Rhinolophus ferrumequinum: one gene and its partner. Each later gene encodes a partner of the first gene's protein in a complex. Links are inferred from orthologs where the notes say so. Each region holds a gene or a part of one and is shown in the gene's direction. Other genes may lie near its edges.

Region 1 (8,042 bases):
AGCTAGGCTCAGGAAGGGAAAGTCAAATCTAAGACCCAAAGGGAATGAGGGGTGGGCAATTTCCTAGAACCTAAGGGTGCAGAGATGGGACACTGGTTCTGAAGGAGGAAGGCGCTGGAGGCCTGGATTTCTCAATCTGAGGACTCCCAAACCCCAGCCCTGGGCCTGAAAGAATTAGAGTCAAATGGAAGTCAAGTCAAATTCCAGAGTCTTTGAGTCATTGAATGACAATGGTCAGACTGCTCAGGCCAGGGTGGGTGAGGAGGGAAGGAGCCTTCAAAAACACAAACAGCTTCAGCTCTGCGGGGCGGAAGCCTTCCCGCGCGGGGCTCTGGCCTCTGCGACAGGCAAAGATGAGGAACTCTTCCCGTTCCCTTCCTCGGGAGATGCTGCCTCCGGGACGTGCCCTTCTAGAAAGCAGTAGTTAGGCGCCAGAGCTAGAATCTCCCCCAAAGGAGTCTGGGGGCCTCGACTCTCGAATTTGCGGGTGAACAGGGTCGGGGGGGGGGGTCAGCGGCCCCTGATGGGCGGCCCTGAGAACTGGAGGAGGCTTGCCATCCCCTCGTGGAGCAGCCTGGCAAACAGGTTTTCCAGTCCCACCCGGAGGACGTAATCCGGGACGCCTTCCCCGCCGGGGCCGGGTTTCAGGCCCCACTCCAGCAGTTGGGGCGTGGAGGGGCTCGACGCATCCAAGTACACCCGGCAGGTGGTAAACCAGGCACCGGCGGGGAAGAGGGAGAGGTTGACGGACCGGAACGCCAGGATCCAGCAGTGCAGCTGGGAGCTAGATCTCCACATCCACAGATGGACGACGCGGCTCCTAGGTGGCCAGGTAGGATGCCGGGGGCGGAGCCCTCTCGCTGGCCGGTGCCTGGGAGGAGGAGGGAGAGGGGGGAGCGCCTCCGGGTCTGGAGAGGGTTGGGCGCGAGGGCTACCACCCTAGCCCGGGGCGCCTGGTCGGGTCCCCAGGGAAGGGGCGGGGCTCCGCTTCCGAGGTGTCTGCCTGGCTGCGGAGGTGCAGAGGCTGTGAACCTGCGACCGCGCCCACTCTCCTTCGTCGCGGAGCCCTCGCTGCCAGTCCCTGGAGGCGGCGTGGAGGGAAGGGCTGCGGGTTTTGGGAACTCGGAGTCCACGGTTCCGTGGCGACCGGATGTGAACTGATCTTGGGGACGGCGCTCTCTGTCATACTGTGTATTGCCACCCGCCAGAAGCTCAGGTTAGTGGCAACTGCGGATACCCCAAATCCAGCAATCGCGTCTTCAGTCCCAGGAGTCTCCTCCACCCCCACCCCACCCCACTCCCAACTCCTGCTCCTCCAGGAATCAAGGTCTGTTATCAGTCCTGGCCCTCCAGCTTCTCATGTTCTACTTGACCTGTTGCTTGTCACCTCTGTGGTCGACTGCCCCTTACACAAAAATACACCTGAGAAAGGAGTTGGTGGGACACAGCCCAACTTCAGTAAGCCTTATAGGCGGGAAGCGTGAGATTGAAAGATAGGGGGACAAGATTATGGACCCTGGACCATTGCTATCTTGGAATTCAGCAATTTTCACCGTCTCCCATCCCTGCCCACCCCACCCCCCCAAATTCCAAGTCTCTAGCTGCTCTTCCCTCAGACCCGGAGTCCAAACCCTCAGTTCCTTCGTTCCATCAGGCCCCTGCTCCCTGGACTCCTGGGTCTGAGGGAAGAGAGGCTGGGGGCCCTCCAGCTCTGAGTTTCTGCTAATTCACTTTTTATCCCCTGCAGCCATGTGGGCCCTCAGCCGGCGGCGGCATCTCTGTCTGACCTTCCTCCTAGTGTGTGTTCTTTCATCAGTCTTATTTTTCCACATCTCTCAAGACCTCTTTCACAACGGCCTGGACCTATCTGCCCTATTTGCAGACCGACACCTGCTGACAAATCCTGTGGCCATCTTCTGCCTGTCAGGCACGCCAATGAGCACCAACACCTCCTCTTCCTGTGCCAAGAACCCTGCCTCCCTCTCAGGCACCTGGACTATCTCCCCAGCGGGCCGCTTGGGTAATCAGATGGGGCAGTACGCCACTCTGCTTGCCCTGGCTCAGCTCAATGGCCGCCGGGCCTTTATCCTGCCGGACATGCACGCTGCCTTGGCTCCCGTGTTCCGCATCACCCTGCCTGTGCTGGCGCCTGAGGTGGACAGCCACACGCCTTGGCGGAAGTTGCAGCTGCACGACTGGATGTCAGAGGAGTACGCCCACTTGAAGGACCCTTTGCTGAAGCTCACTGGCTTCCCCTGCTCCTGGACCTTCTTCCACCATCTCCGGGAACAGATCCGGAGTGAGTTCACCCTGCATGACCACCTTCGGGAAAAGGCCCAAGGTTTCCTGAGACAGCTCCGCCTGCCGGCTACTGGGGTCCTCCCGCGCACTTTCGTGGGTGTCCACGTGCGCCGTGGGGACTACCTGGAGGTTATGCCTCAACGCTGGAAGGGTGTGGTGGGCGATGGCGTCTACCTCCAGCAGGCCATGGACTGGTTTCGGGCGCGGCATGAAGCCCCCATCTTTGTGGTCACCAGCAACGGCATGGGGTGGTGCCGGGAAAACATCAACCCCTCCCAGGGGGATGTGATCTTTGCTGGTGATGGGCAGGAGGAGTCACCCGAGAAGGACTTTGCGTTGCTCACACAGTGCAACCACACCATTATGACTATTGGCACTTTTGGCTTCTGGGCCGCCTACCTGGCCGGTGGAGACACTGTCTACCTGGCCAACTTCACCCTGCCTGACTCCAGCTTTCTCAGGATCTTTAAGCCGGAGGCTGCCTTCCTGCCTGAGTGGGTGGGCATTAATGCAGACTTGTCTCCACTCCAGAAACTGCGGAGGAGTCTTTCTGGAATAGCCTGATCGATCTAGGGCCAGCATTGTGCGTCTCCAGAATCCTAGCAGCTTCTGGAGAAGCTTGTGGTGGTCCGGCAGCAGATGGGCACCCATTTCTAGAGTGATTCTAATTGGCTCAGAGCTACCTGCAACTGCCTGAACATTCTAGAACCAGCAGAAGACATTTTCTTGATGATTGGCAATGTCTGGGGAGACTCATGACAGTTCTGCAAGGCACAGTGCCCACCTGTAGTTCCAAGCCTATATCCAGAGTACTTTTAGATGGCTGCCCACCCAGGAACCAGGAACTCCCCTCTTTAGTGTTGATCATTCTGGTCTTTTCTAGAAGAGATGTTTCTCCATTCCTCAGTCATCAGGACTGAAGAAACTCATGGAAATTCTAGAGCAAGCACTCACCAACTCTCCTTCTGTTTCTGGATTGGTTCTAGATGGGAATTTGTTCTAGAGGGGACCAGTTCTAATGCCTGTGAAGAACCCTGCAGGGCCCTTGCAGAGGGGAGAGGGTTCTGGAATTCCAGATAACTTTGGTGAAAAATCGAATGAAGGTACAACCAGAAGCTCAATACCTCACCACTGCCAGGAAGATTGATGGAAGATAAACTATGTATAGCTGTGACAGTTTGTGAGAAGAGTGGAATTCTATCCATCCTCTCAGCCCCTGAAAAAAACACACAAAGACTTTGGGCTGCTGGGGTTGATGGGATGGATTTTTCTGGAGGTCAATCAACATAAACATGACCTTTGGGCTTGTAGAAAGCCACCGGTATCACGCCCCTTGCCAACCATGGTCTGTCTGCTAAATCTGGCTTTGGGCAAATGAGGGATGGAAAGATCCCAAGGTATGCAGACAGGCCTCAAACCCAAGCAGGAGCACTCTTGGCCAGGGTCTGGCCAAGGAGGATGGGATTCTTGACTCAGATTTCAGGAACCCCTTGATGCTTTTTGAAGGGGGTGAAGGTAGATCTTTTATTGCAGAATTGTCTAAGAATCTAAGCCTCTTTTTTAGTCTTTTCAGGGAGTTTTGGGAGACTTTTCCTACTCAGCTGCCATAGTGAGAGAGGGAGGTATGGATTAAAAGTCTACGTCACCAACTCCTGTCTCTGTAGGCTTTTTTCCTTTTTCTTTTTCTTTTTTTTTTTTGAGTCTTGTGTGCATGAGTGTGTGAGTGAGTGAATGAGTAGGGGGAAAAGTTCAGAACTTCCAAGGACTCTCATGACTCATATCTTAGGGTATTGTTCCTGCTCAGATTTGGCCGCCTCTTGTGGGATTTGTGGTCTCTGAGCCGCAGTTCCTTTCTCCGGACTCTCAGTATCGGCCCCCAGACCGATTTCCTTTGGAACCTTGACGTGCAGCCCCAAAGGCTGGAAGAGAAAGTGGGGGAGGAAGTGTGCACAGAGTGTAACTGTTGAACTACACTTCCCATAAAGGTATGGGGTTGGTTGCGGTAATCAGCTATGGAGACCCCGGGGTCTTCTGGGAATCGTAGTCCTAGGGCTGGGAAGGGCCACTTCGCGCGTCTTCATGGCTCAATCACTGGCTTCCCAAAGGGTCCTGGGCTTCCAACCGGAAGCCTGGGTCCTGGGGCCCAGGGAGAGGAGGAAGCTGAAGCGCAGAATTTCGTTCCTCGTTTCTGGAAAGCTAGAGAAGACAGGATACTTCCACCTCAGTAGATGCTGCGAAACTTCCGGTCTGAAAAGGCGGCTGCTTCTGTGACATCAAGGAGGAGTGGGCGGGGCCTCCCTTTGTTGCGGTCCAATCGGACTCAGAACTGGGCTTCCGGGCGGGGCCAGGGAAGCCCCCAGGGACTATCTTTTGCGAATTAGGGGTTTTACGTGGGAAGCTATATGGTGGAGGCTGTGGGAGTTCCTTGTAGATAGGGGCGAACCGTGACTCTAACCGCAGTCAAATGCTCTCTATTACAAACCGTATCCCCAACAAAACCCTTAATTTTAGTAGTGGGAAAATATCAGTGTGGAGGGACGTGGCTCGGTCCTCCTCTCTTAAAGCCCTCAGAAGCCGGACTCGGCTCTTCAGCGAGCCCTAGTGTTCGAGGATACATCACCCTGGAGAGACGGTCGGGCAGCAGTTGTCGAGGGTGCAATGGGATTCCTCGGTTTCCTAACAAGAAGTGTGCGCCCTGTAAATTTAGGGTCCATTAGTCTCGGGAAGGGCATCTCTCCGTTTAGCCCTCACTTCCTCTCGGTTTGGGGTGAGAGGACTCTTCCAGGGGTTCTGGCGGCAATGGGGCCGCGGCTTCCCCTCCTGGTGGCGGCGCTGGCCAGCTGCCTGCTTCCTGCCCGGACTTGTGTCCTGTGTGATACAAAAGTCGTGGAAGCGCTAAACAACTTGGAGATGGATTACCTGCCTGGCCACCTGGGGGCCGAGCACCACAAAAACTTGATGAAAAGGGTAAAGCAGGCCTTGCAGGATTTCAAGGAACTGCCGTTTGACGAGGATTCCTATCTGGGGGTCGTCGGTGAGGGCAAGGTGGAGCCCGGACCCCCGGTCCTGGGAAAAGAGGGTTCTGGGGCTAGGACTGCTGGGGGTAGGGAGAAGAAGGCTGCAAGCAGAGTCTCCTGTGTTCGGGAATGGAACAGGTTGTGGTACAGATTTCGGGGTTCCCGGGGCTAGGAAATACTGTGTTCCCATAGCCCTAGCCTGCAATTGTAATAAAACTACAACTCCCAGAAAGCAACGGGAGGGTAATCCCTTAACCAGACCTATCCGTACCCATGGGTATTGTAGTTTCTAAGACTAGGTGAGGCAATGAGACAATACTGGAACCTGGCGTTCTATCTCTCCCCATAGATGAGCCCACACTGGAGAAGGCATCCTGGAGTTTGCTGAAGGATCTGAAACGCATCACGGATAGTGAAGTAAAAGGTAAATGCACGGAGGGGACATGGGAGGGGCTCCAGAATCCCAGGGAAGTGATTGCTGCTGGTGATGCTTGGTCTGGGGGTCATATACTGAGTTTTGGAGCCAGACTGCTTAGGTTAAAATTCTGGCATTGCCACTTCCTAGCTGTGTGGCCTTGAGCAAGGGATTTTGCAGCTTCCTCACCTCTAAAATGGAGACCATATCAGTGACCTCACCCCATTTGTTGCTTAGCCATTATGTTAGGTGGTCATTTCAGTTTCACTGTCCTTCCCTGAGAAGGCCCAAAAGCGGAATACCGGAGCAGCAGACTGAGGCAAACTTCCTGTACCTCGCACTTGGAAGTGGGGGAGGGGACCACTTTGTTTCATCCTGCTTCTTCCTAGGTGAGCTCTTCGTGAAAGAGCTATTCTGGATGTTGCACCTGCAAAAGGATACCTTTGCCAGATATGCTGCTCACTTCCAAAAAGAGGGTGAGGGAAGATGGGAGTCCTGGACCCCAGCCCCCCTCCTTCCACAGGCCGAGAGTCCCTGTCCCCAGCCCCTTTCTTCTGAAGTCCAGTCCCTCAGCTCTCCCAACCCTCTCCCCACTCAGACCCAGGGGTCCAGGCCCCCAGGTCCTTCTTCCCTCAAAGCCAGGAGTTCCAGCCCCAGCCTCTTCCTTTGCTCACTTCCAAAAAGAGGGTGAGGGAAGATGGGAGTCCCGGACCCCAGCCCCCCTCCTTCCACAGGCCGAGAGTCCCTGTCCCCAGCCCCTTAGCTCTCCCAACCTTCTCCCCACTCAGACCCAGGGATCCAGGCCCCCAGGTCCTTCTTCCCTCAAAGCCAGGAGTTCCAGCCTCAGCCTCTTCCTTTGCCCCGTCCCTCATCCTTTTTAACTTAAAAATCTGATCCTCATTTTTTTCTTTCTGCGGAGGCAGATTTTTGTCCCAACGAATGTGGTGAGTTCGGATCATGGGAGCCGGTTCTCTCTCCCTCATCCTTGCCCCGTGAATACCCAGCCTTTCTCCTCCCCCTTTTGGGTCTTGGTGTTTCTTCATTCTCCGCGTCTGGGAGGTTCCTAGGTCTCCAGTATTCCTCCCGCACCCAAAGCCTTCTTGGCGAGCGCAGCTCATTCTTTCGCACTGGTTAGATTCCGCTTCCCACAGGCCTGCGCTCTAGTCCCGCCCCGCCCTTGGCCCTGCCCTCTCCTTTTAGCCCCGCCTGCTAGTCGGGAAAAACACCCCCTTGACCCTGCCCCTTCAGGTATGATGTTGCAGACGCTGATCTGGTGCAGTAACTGCAAGAAACAGGTTCACGCTTGTCGGAAGTCCTTGGATTGCGGGGGTGAGAGAGCTGGGTCCAGCAGGAGGGGTTGGTGCAAGAGGGGCGGAGCCAGAGGAGTGACTGAGTCTAGAGAGGGCGGAGACTAGAGCCAGCAGAGGAGAAAGAGAGGGGCCAACCTAGTGGATGGAGGTTGGGGGAAGGCCGAGAACCCAACGGGCTTCCTACAGTAACCCCCTATCCCCAGAGCGCAAAGTCAAGGTCCATGAAATGGAAGACATGATCCTGGACTGTGAGCTCAACTGGCATCATGCCTCTCAAGGCCTGACCGATTACAGCTTTTACAGGGTGGGGCCCTCCAACTCCTGTAACCCTTGAAATCCAAGTCCATCAGGCCTGTGTGAACCCTGTATCCACAGGCCTGCACCCACAATCCCCATGACCCGTGACCTACCAGATTTGGCTCCCACTCACCCCGGTGACACCATGCCCTGACCAGTACACTCAGGACTCCCATCTCCCCTTGAGGCCCCGTGATCTTCTTACCCCTGTACTCCCCCAACCCCTGAACTCCCCAGGCCTCTGTGACCCCTTGAGCTTGGGTCTAGGTTTGGAGGAACAAGTCTGAGACCTTGGTGTCCAAGGGGAAAGAGCCTACCCTGACCAAGATCATGGTAGACCCACTGGATGCAGGCACCTATCGCTGCCAGCTGGACACCGTGCAATCTAGCCCGGCCACGGTCATCCGTTTTCATGTCACAGGTCAGTGCTGGGGAGTTGAAAGAAGTATGGGTTTCAGGGTCCTGGGGTTGGGGGTGGTCCGCTTCAGGGGTGTGGCCTATGGGGGCATAACTCCCCATCGGGTTTTCAGGCTTCCTGACCTGGGTGTGGCCTCTGGCCACAGCTGCAGGGTTCCCCTCTGGGTTTGTTCCCGCTACACACAATTGGAGGCTGGAGGCGCGTGATTATCTCCTGCAGGGTTTGGGGCAAGTTGCTGAGGGGAGGGTTTGCCTTGGCGGGACCTTCATGCCTTCCCAGGACTG
Region 2 (6,908 bases), on another chromosome or scaffold:
ATAAAAAAATAAAAGAAAATACCATAAGTCGAAAACGCGTTTAATACTACGCTGCAGAGCACCGGTTATTTACACTTGTGGTGGCGTGTCTGACTGGGAGCTGTGGCTTGCCACCACTGCCCAACCCTGTGACAGAGCACCACACTGCACATCACTATCCAGGGGAAAGAGCGAAATTCGAAGTTTCTACTGAATGTGTATCACTTTCAAACCATCGCAAAGTCGAAAACTTCTAAGCCGAACCGTCTTAAGTTGGGGACCATCTGTATTTACCTCATGGTGTTACTTTTGAATGGATTAATATACATGAAGTTTTTCAACAAGGCCTGGTACATTACAAGCACATATAAATGCTTTCTATTATTAATATTTGCAATGGGCATTGAGTATATAACCGTGTGTGCATACTTCAGGATTCTTTGGGTAGTAAGCAACAGAAATCCAGCTCAAACTAGCTTAATAAAATAGCAGGACTTATTGGATTACATAGCTTGCCGGTGGACAGGAGAGGTTACATAACCAAAGGAGGAAGTATCAGAGCTAAGGTCTCACCCAGAAGGGTGAGTCCAGTAGGGGACTCAAGTCTCCTCACTCTGTGCAGCACTGCTTGTCTCTGACTGTCCTTGTGTCTTGGCATCATTCTTTTTTCTGAAGACAGATTTACTTGGTATCAGAGAAGAGGTCTACTGTAGATCAAAAGCCACATTCTTTCATCGCAGAATCCAAGAAAAATGGTTACCCTACCCCCTCCAATTCAGAGAATTTTATGAAGGACTCTGATAGTTGACCTTGAATCACGTGCTCACCGTTGGACTAATGCATGGCTTTGAAGGGACATCATATTCTGTCTGGGTCACATGTCCACCCCACTGAATGGGAGAAATCATCATAAGTGAAAGCCCACCAGGACCATGTGGAGTAGGAAGAGGTCCCCAAAGGAAGGGGACCCCCCTTACCAGAGAGGTGTAAGGAAAGCACATTAGAGAGATTAAAACAATAGCTACCAGAGCTGGCTACAAATAAAACACTGTTCCTGCTTCTAGTAGGAGAAAAACAGGTACAGATAAATTAATCATAATTATCGAGCATCTATACCACGTCAGGTGCTGCAAAGTTGGTGGTACAGGAAGGAGTAAGATACTCTCATTCTCAGCTGCTGGTCTTACAGAAGTATTTTGCTTTCCCCAGAATGTTCCTGAATGCCCTTTGCCCACTCCAATATTTGAAATGCAGTAGATAAACTAGGGCAAAGATATTATGCCAGACTACAAAGGAATAAAATATAAGCACTCATTTTCAATTTGGAAAGGAGCTTGTCTGGGCAGTATTTTTATTATTTTTTTTTTAATTCCTTCATGGGGAAATTGGCTACAGTGGCTGAATGATTAATTGGCATTGCTTTGTCTGAGTGGAGACCACGCTTTTAATTCTGAAGGATTAAGGGGCTTCTTTGGTCACTTCCTCTATTCTTTACTGATCACAAGAGAAGGCAGAGATGCAAAAGTATTTGTCAAACAGAAATGCCAGACATTTATGCCTGCTGTGCTTCTACTTTCTCATTTTAATAATTATTAACAGCTTCGCACTGGTTTTTTAGGGCTGCTATCACAAATGACCACAAACTGCACATCTTAAAACAGAAATGTATCTTCTCACAGTTGTAGAGGACAGTAGTCCAAGGTCAAGGTGTTGCCAGGACTATTCTTTCTCTGAAGGCTCTAGGGAAGGATCCTTTCTTTCTTCTGCCTAGTTTATGGTGATTGCTGGCAATCCTTGGTGTTCCTGGGCTAGTAGATATATCACTCCAACCTCTGCTTTCTTTTTCCTTGTGTCTGTTTGTTTCTTTTCCTCTTCTTATAAGGACACCAGTCATATTGGATTAGGGATCTCTCTGATGACTTCACCCTAATTTGATGACATCTGCAAAGACCTTGTGTCCAAATAAGGTCACATTTCACAAGTACCAAGGGTAAGGACTTCAACATATCTTTCTGGGGGAGACATAAACTCATGACAAACCTGATCTCATTTACAAAATGTTCAAAGTGACTTACAAAAATAAATGAAACTGGGATTTCCCAAGCCTCTCACCAACTTGAAAGTATGAAGAATGTCATATCCACTCCAGCCTTAATCTGTTAATTATAGTGGCGATCTCTCTCTACCTGTTTATGGGGAACCTCAGTGCCTTTTGAAAATCACACCAAAAAATAACAAACTCAGGAGCTCCTTAGGAGAGATTCTCCCACTGGGAGGAAAGACCAGATTCACACTTTTGTGCCTTTGCTTACATGGGGCCACACCTCACCACCTCTGTGGCTGGTGACACCCTGAGCATACTCTCTGCTAGTAGGCTCACTGCATTTCCATGGCAACGCTGCACTGTGGTTTGTGGCCGTGGAAGGGACTTAGGCCCTTGCTCTCCATCTGGTTGCACTTTGTCACCATACTGCCTCGTTTTACAAAGTTTGTCCTGAGCCAACCCCTGCAGCCTGAGGTCCTAAGCATTTGTGCAGAGGCTCACATCTGGGCTAGGACCACTCCTTCTGTGGGCATCATTTCTGATTGTCTCCTCACGCACCAGAGCACACAGCTCCCCTGCCTTCATTTCCCTGTTCTCCTTCCAAACACACAAAAAAGCAAACACTCTTCCTATTAATTCATGAAACTAGATCCCAGAAGAGCCCAGAACAAATTCATAAAATCCTTAGCAAACAACCAAACTTTGAATCTTGATTTGGCTTCACCCCAAAAACAGGAGCCCAAAAGCATCTGCTTTATACACAAATCCAACTCCACAAAATTGATTTAAAAAATCTGAGAAAGGAAGAAATAAATGTAGAACTGAAATAAAAGGCCAGAAGAAAAAGATTATATATAGAAGCACATTGTAAATCACATTGTAGTGGCCAAAGAATCAGCAATAAGATTCAGAGTCTTCAAACAAAACAAAACCAGTAGTTCAGGAGGAACAAGATTTGCTCTGGTACTGTGGTCTGACATTTCTATTTCAGTTAACTTTATGTTTTCAGTTTGCTGCTTTGTCACATCAAACCCATTTCCCTTTCCTCCTGGGCACAAAGCTAGACTATCAGGTGTCGCCATGTGACTAGGCTCTGGCCACCGAAATATGGCCAGAAGTGATGTGTGTAATTTCTTGGCAGAAGCAGATAAGAAGCAGAGGTACCTTTCTCATAGTCTCTGTCCCCATCTACGAGTTGAATGGGAAAAAGTCTGACCTCCATGAGGAGAGTAGAACCACAGAATGGAAAGAGCCTGGGTTCCTGTAGGTTTATGTGAAAGGCTGCTGGGCCATGCCACCCAGACCAGACTGTGCCACAGAGACAGGTAACCCTGTATTGTGTTAAGCCACTGAGACTGCAGGGTTTAGCTATTACAGCATCTAGTGTCCTTAAGTAAAATAGATGGGATAACCCTGGCCTTCTTTGTGTTGAACTCCTCTTCCACCCACTTTCCCTGAGGCACCAACAAACGTTCCAAAATATCAATTGCAACCTCTCCCAGCACAATAGAAAATATTCTACCAGGGGAGGTCTCGCAGTCACATCGATGAATTCTGAACTTTCTTATGATGTTTGTTTCTCCTGGATCTCTATACCTTCAGGCTAATACGACTTTACTCTTTCCAACCTGATAACTATTCATTCTTCTTAACAGAAGAAACTGAACTGAGGCTGGATTTGGAAAGTTCTGCATTCTCTCTGGCAACACTGCAACATCAGAGAGTCGTTTCCTTTGATGACAAAACACAAAGCGTGTATTCTTTCTCCTGCTGAGTGACAAAGCAAAGCTGCCCACATGGCACACTGTCCAGAACAGCAGGTCTTCACAGTCTTCTCAGAAGAGCCAGGCAGAATGGAGAGGAGAAAGAGCTGACCCCAGCCCGTCGTCTTTCACAGAGCAAGGTAAGCATTAGCCTGACATGACGTTCCCAGGCATGCTGATATGGCTGATGGAGTCCCTGTGTCATACCATTAGTACTCTGAATGACTCAGGCATTATTGTTTTCTGGTAGGTCATTTTGACATAAAATTCTCATGATGAATGGCTTTGCGAAACTCACTGGGCAAAATGTTCATTTCCTGAGCTGAGACTGCAATTAGCAGCCAATCAGTGAAGCCAATCACTTAGCACTTCCACATTACAACTTTAAGAGTATGAAGTCTCTTGGTCACTGGTCACTTGCTAAGACACAGAAGAAGCACTGGTCTGGAAGTCACATGACCTATTACTGATGCAACAATAGCCACCACTTATGGGGCACTTGTGTGTTTCAGATCATTCTGGGCACCTTTTCTGTGTCATCTCAAACATCTCCTTTCAAATAGGCTATAATTTGCATATCTACAAATTTTGTAGATATCGTCATTTCGCAGATAATTTCATAAACATTCCCATTTTACAAATAAAGAGAATAAGGTTCTGTCTACAGTATGCTCCACTGTATGCTAGTCCCTCCTGGAGATAGGACTCTGATTTTGAGGAGTTTAAAGTCTCTTTAAGAAAGTGAGACTTTCTAGAAGTAATTTGAGAATCATAAAAGGTAGCATACAAAGCTAGGTGAGTCTATTTGCTTCTCCAAGCTTGATGGAGCCTGAAGGTCATGGCTAGAGTGAGTGGGGGTGAGAGTCATGGCCAACCTGAAAGGTAAGGCTAGGATTACAGGGTAAAATCAGCTCAGTTACCAGATATTGGGATGGATAAACCCCAACAGCTGAATGGGAGTATGGCCAGCATTGAGGTGAGGGTGGAGAGACACAGTGGACATCAGCTGGGAGAGAGGAGATGGGTACTCAGGCGGAAGCTCAGGATCGCCTGTTCGTATTCTGTTGGGCAACTGGCCCAGGGACGCCCTCAGGTCAGTGACTCTTAACCTTGCCTGCACCTAAAAGATGCTGGGGGGAGCTTTTAAAAAATACTGATGTCTGGTCACTATCCCTCAAGATTCTGATTTAGTGGGTTTGATTTAATGGGGTTGGGTCTGGGTGTTGGGATTTTTCAGAGCTGCCTTGATGATTCCAATATGAAGTCAAGACTGAGAACCTCTGCCTTAGAGGTGCCACCACTCACCTGCCTGATCATTTATCTGTGTCTTTAATGGGCTTCCACATTCACTGGTTGTTAGTTCTATTCTGATACTTATAGGGGCTTTCCTGAGAAGGAAAGTATTAAAGAACCCTGGAGTTAGAAAGGGCAGGCTCCCTGGAACTGGTCGGACTCCTGTTAGACCTTGAAGGACTGATGTTTCTCTCGGGACAGGAGGGGCTGTATAGTAATAGAACCAAGGAGTTGGGCTGCCCACAGGCTCTCTGCCAGGTGAAATCCTGCCTTCACCTAAGGGAGTAGAGATGAAGCCGCGAAGAAGCTGATGAAACATTTCACAGTTTGGCTGGGTTTTGCCTTGCAAGCACGTGGTCCTTTAGGGTCTTGCCTTCTGATCAACCTCACAATTTCCATCTGCAGATTTAAAAAACCTTTATGGAGCCCCTTCTGTGTTGCAGGCACTGTGCTGGGGGCTTTGTCATGTTATCTCACATGATGTATAGGGCTTTTGCTTTTTTCTTTTTTACAATGCCTTATCCTTACCTCTTCAGTTTTTAGAGATTCCATATAAACATCTTAATCAGCTGGATTGTGGAAGATGGATTAGCTTTACTGTTTGGGGCTTCCAAGAATAGCTAATAATAATAAAATAATAATAATAATTAATAACAATAATTAATGATATATTAATTATATTATTAATTATTGTTATCATCATCATCTTCATCATCATTTATTGAGCACTTACTATATCCCAGGCATGGGGCAAACATTTTAGATTTTTGCCATCCCAATTCATTCCCATAACAACCCTAGAGCTGTATCATTCCCCTTTTAAAGATAAGGAAATAGATGTTTCGAGACTTTAAGTAAATGTCTAAAGGTCCTTTAAAAGTCTTTGCAGGACTAATGTTCAGATCTGTTTGGGTCCAATCTGACTGTTCTGATACCCTAGGACTGTGGTTCTCCTCCACCTTAGGGGCATATCAGAATATTTATGGCACTTTTTAAAAATAAACTTTTTATTTGGAATAATTTTTGATTTTCAGAAAAGATACAAAGACAGTAGAGTGTTCAAGTCAGATTATGTTGAGTGTTAAAATATAGATATGAAAAATCTGATATAAAGAAATAAATGGTTCCTTCAATCCATGTTTGTTGAGAGGGGTATTAAAGATGGCTTCACCGACATTTGTGCTACGTTCTAAAGGATGAGTAGTGTTCCAGCGACAAAGTAGAAGACAGGAAACGTGTTCAGGCACCAGCAACCTCATAAACAAAAGCACAGCTGCCTGCGAGCTCATTAGCATGTTTGGGCAAGAATGAACTCCAAGGTGGGTCCAAGGTATGAATTCATGGTAGAAAGTGGTGGAAAAGGTAGATTGGGGTCAGAAAAAGAACCCTGAAATATTTTTTGAATAACCTGATCAGATGTGTCCATTAGGATGAATAGTTTGGGCTACAGACGGAATGGATTAGAGATTGGCTGGATTGTGGTTCTTCAAACCCCACATGTCCAATACTGAATGAATTCTCCATCCTTCTTCAGCATTTCTCCAGGTAGTTAAGGCTTACCTGTCGTAGCCACTCAATCTCCAGGTCTATTGATTTTACCCCCTTCTCTCCACTGCCCCGCCATCACCGTAATTGAGGCTCTCATTTCTTTTCTGAGTATTGCGTTAGCCTCCCACGTATTCCCTTGCTCACAGTGTACTCTTTTAATTCACCTTCTTCATTATTGGTAATATTTCCAGCATGCAGAACTGATTTATGCAACTCCTGCGCTCAAAATTCTTCAGTAGCTGTCTTTACCCATAAAATAAAACTTGAAACTCTTCGGCATT

Evidence for each region. Proteins that work in one complex are often made in the same cells at the same time.
Region 2: the proteins of IZUMO1 (region 1) and IZUMO1R are in contact, whole or in part, in a crystal structure (PDB 5JKC), measured with the Homo sapiens proteins. The link is inferred for Rhinolophus ferrumequinum from reciprocal best matches to the Homo sapiens genes IZUMO1 and IZUMO1R. Residues at the interface, in NP_872381.2 of Homo sapiens: Met75, Val77, Tyr134, Val141, Leu146, Trp148, Lys150, Asn151, Lys153, Glu155, Val156, His157, Ala158, Arg160, Lys161, Ser162, Tyr163, Asn239, Ser240, Ser241, Pro242, Ile245; in NP_001186135.1 of Homo sapiens: Lys42, Tyr44, Glu45, Ile48, Leu58, Trp62, His65, Leu66, Asp67, Gly80, Leu81, Leu82, Met83, Pro84, Gly85, Arg87, Ile91, Met145, Ser146, Tyr147, Gln171.

Annotation. Positions count from the first base shown.
Region 1 is NC_046298.1:44,187,648-44,195,689, reverse strand, and holds the start of IZUMO1 (izumo sperm-egg fusion protein 1), read left to right. Parts: upstream 1-5,032; 5' UTR 5,033-5,100; coding exon 5,101-5,335; intron 5,336-5,667; coding exon 5,668-5,742; intron 5,743-6,122; coding exon 6,123-6,209; intron 6,210-6,656; coding exon 6,657-6,677; intron 6,678-6,981; coding exon 6,982-7,062; intron 7,063-7,246; coding exon 7,247-7,347; intron 7,348-7,607; coding exon 7,608-7,761; intron 7,762-8,042. Other genes in the region: FUT1 (galactoside alpha-(1,2)-fucosyltransferase 1), read left to right, coding at 1,750-2,865. UniProt on the Homo sapiens protein: Essential sperm cell-surface protein required for fertilization by acting as a ligand for IZUMO1R/JUNO receptor on egg.
Region 2 is NC_046294.1:65,204,229-65,211,136, forward strand, and holds the start of IZUMO1R (sperm-egg fusion protein Juno), read left to right. Parts: upstream 1-3,858; 5' UTR 3,859-3,926; intron 3,927-6,908. UniProt on the Homo sapiens protein: Receptor for IZUMO1 present at the cell surface of oocytes (oolemma), which is essential for species-specific gamete recognition and fertilization.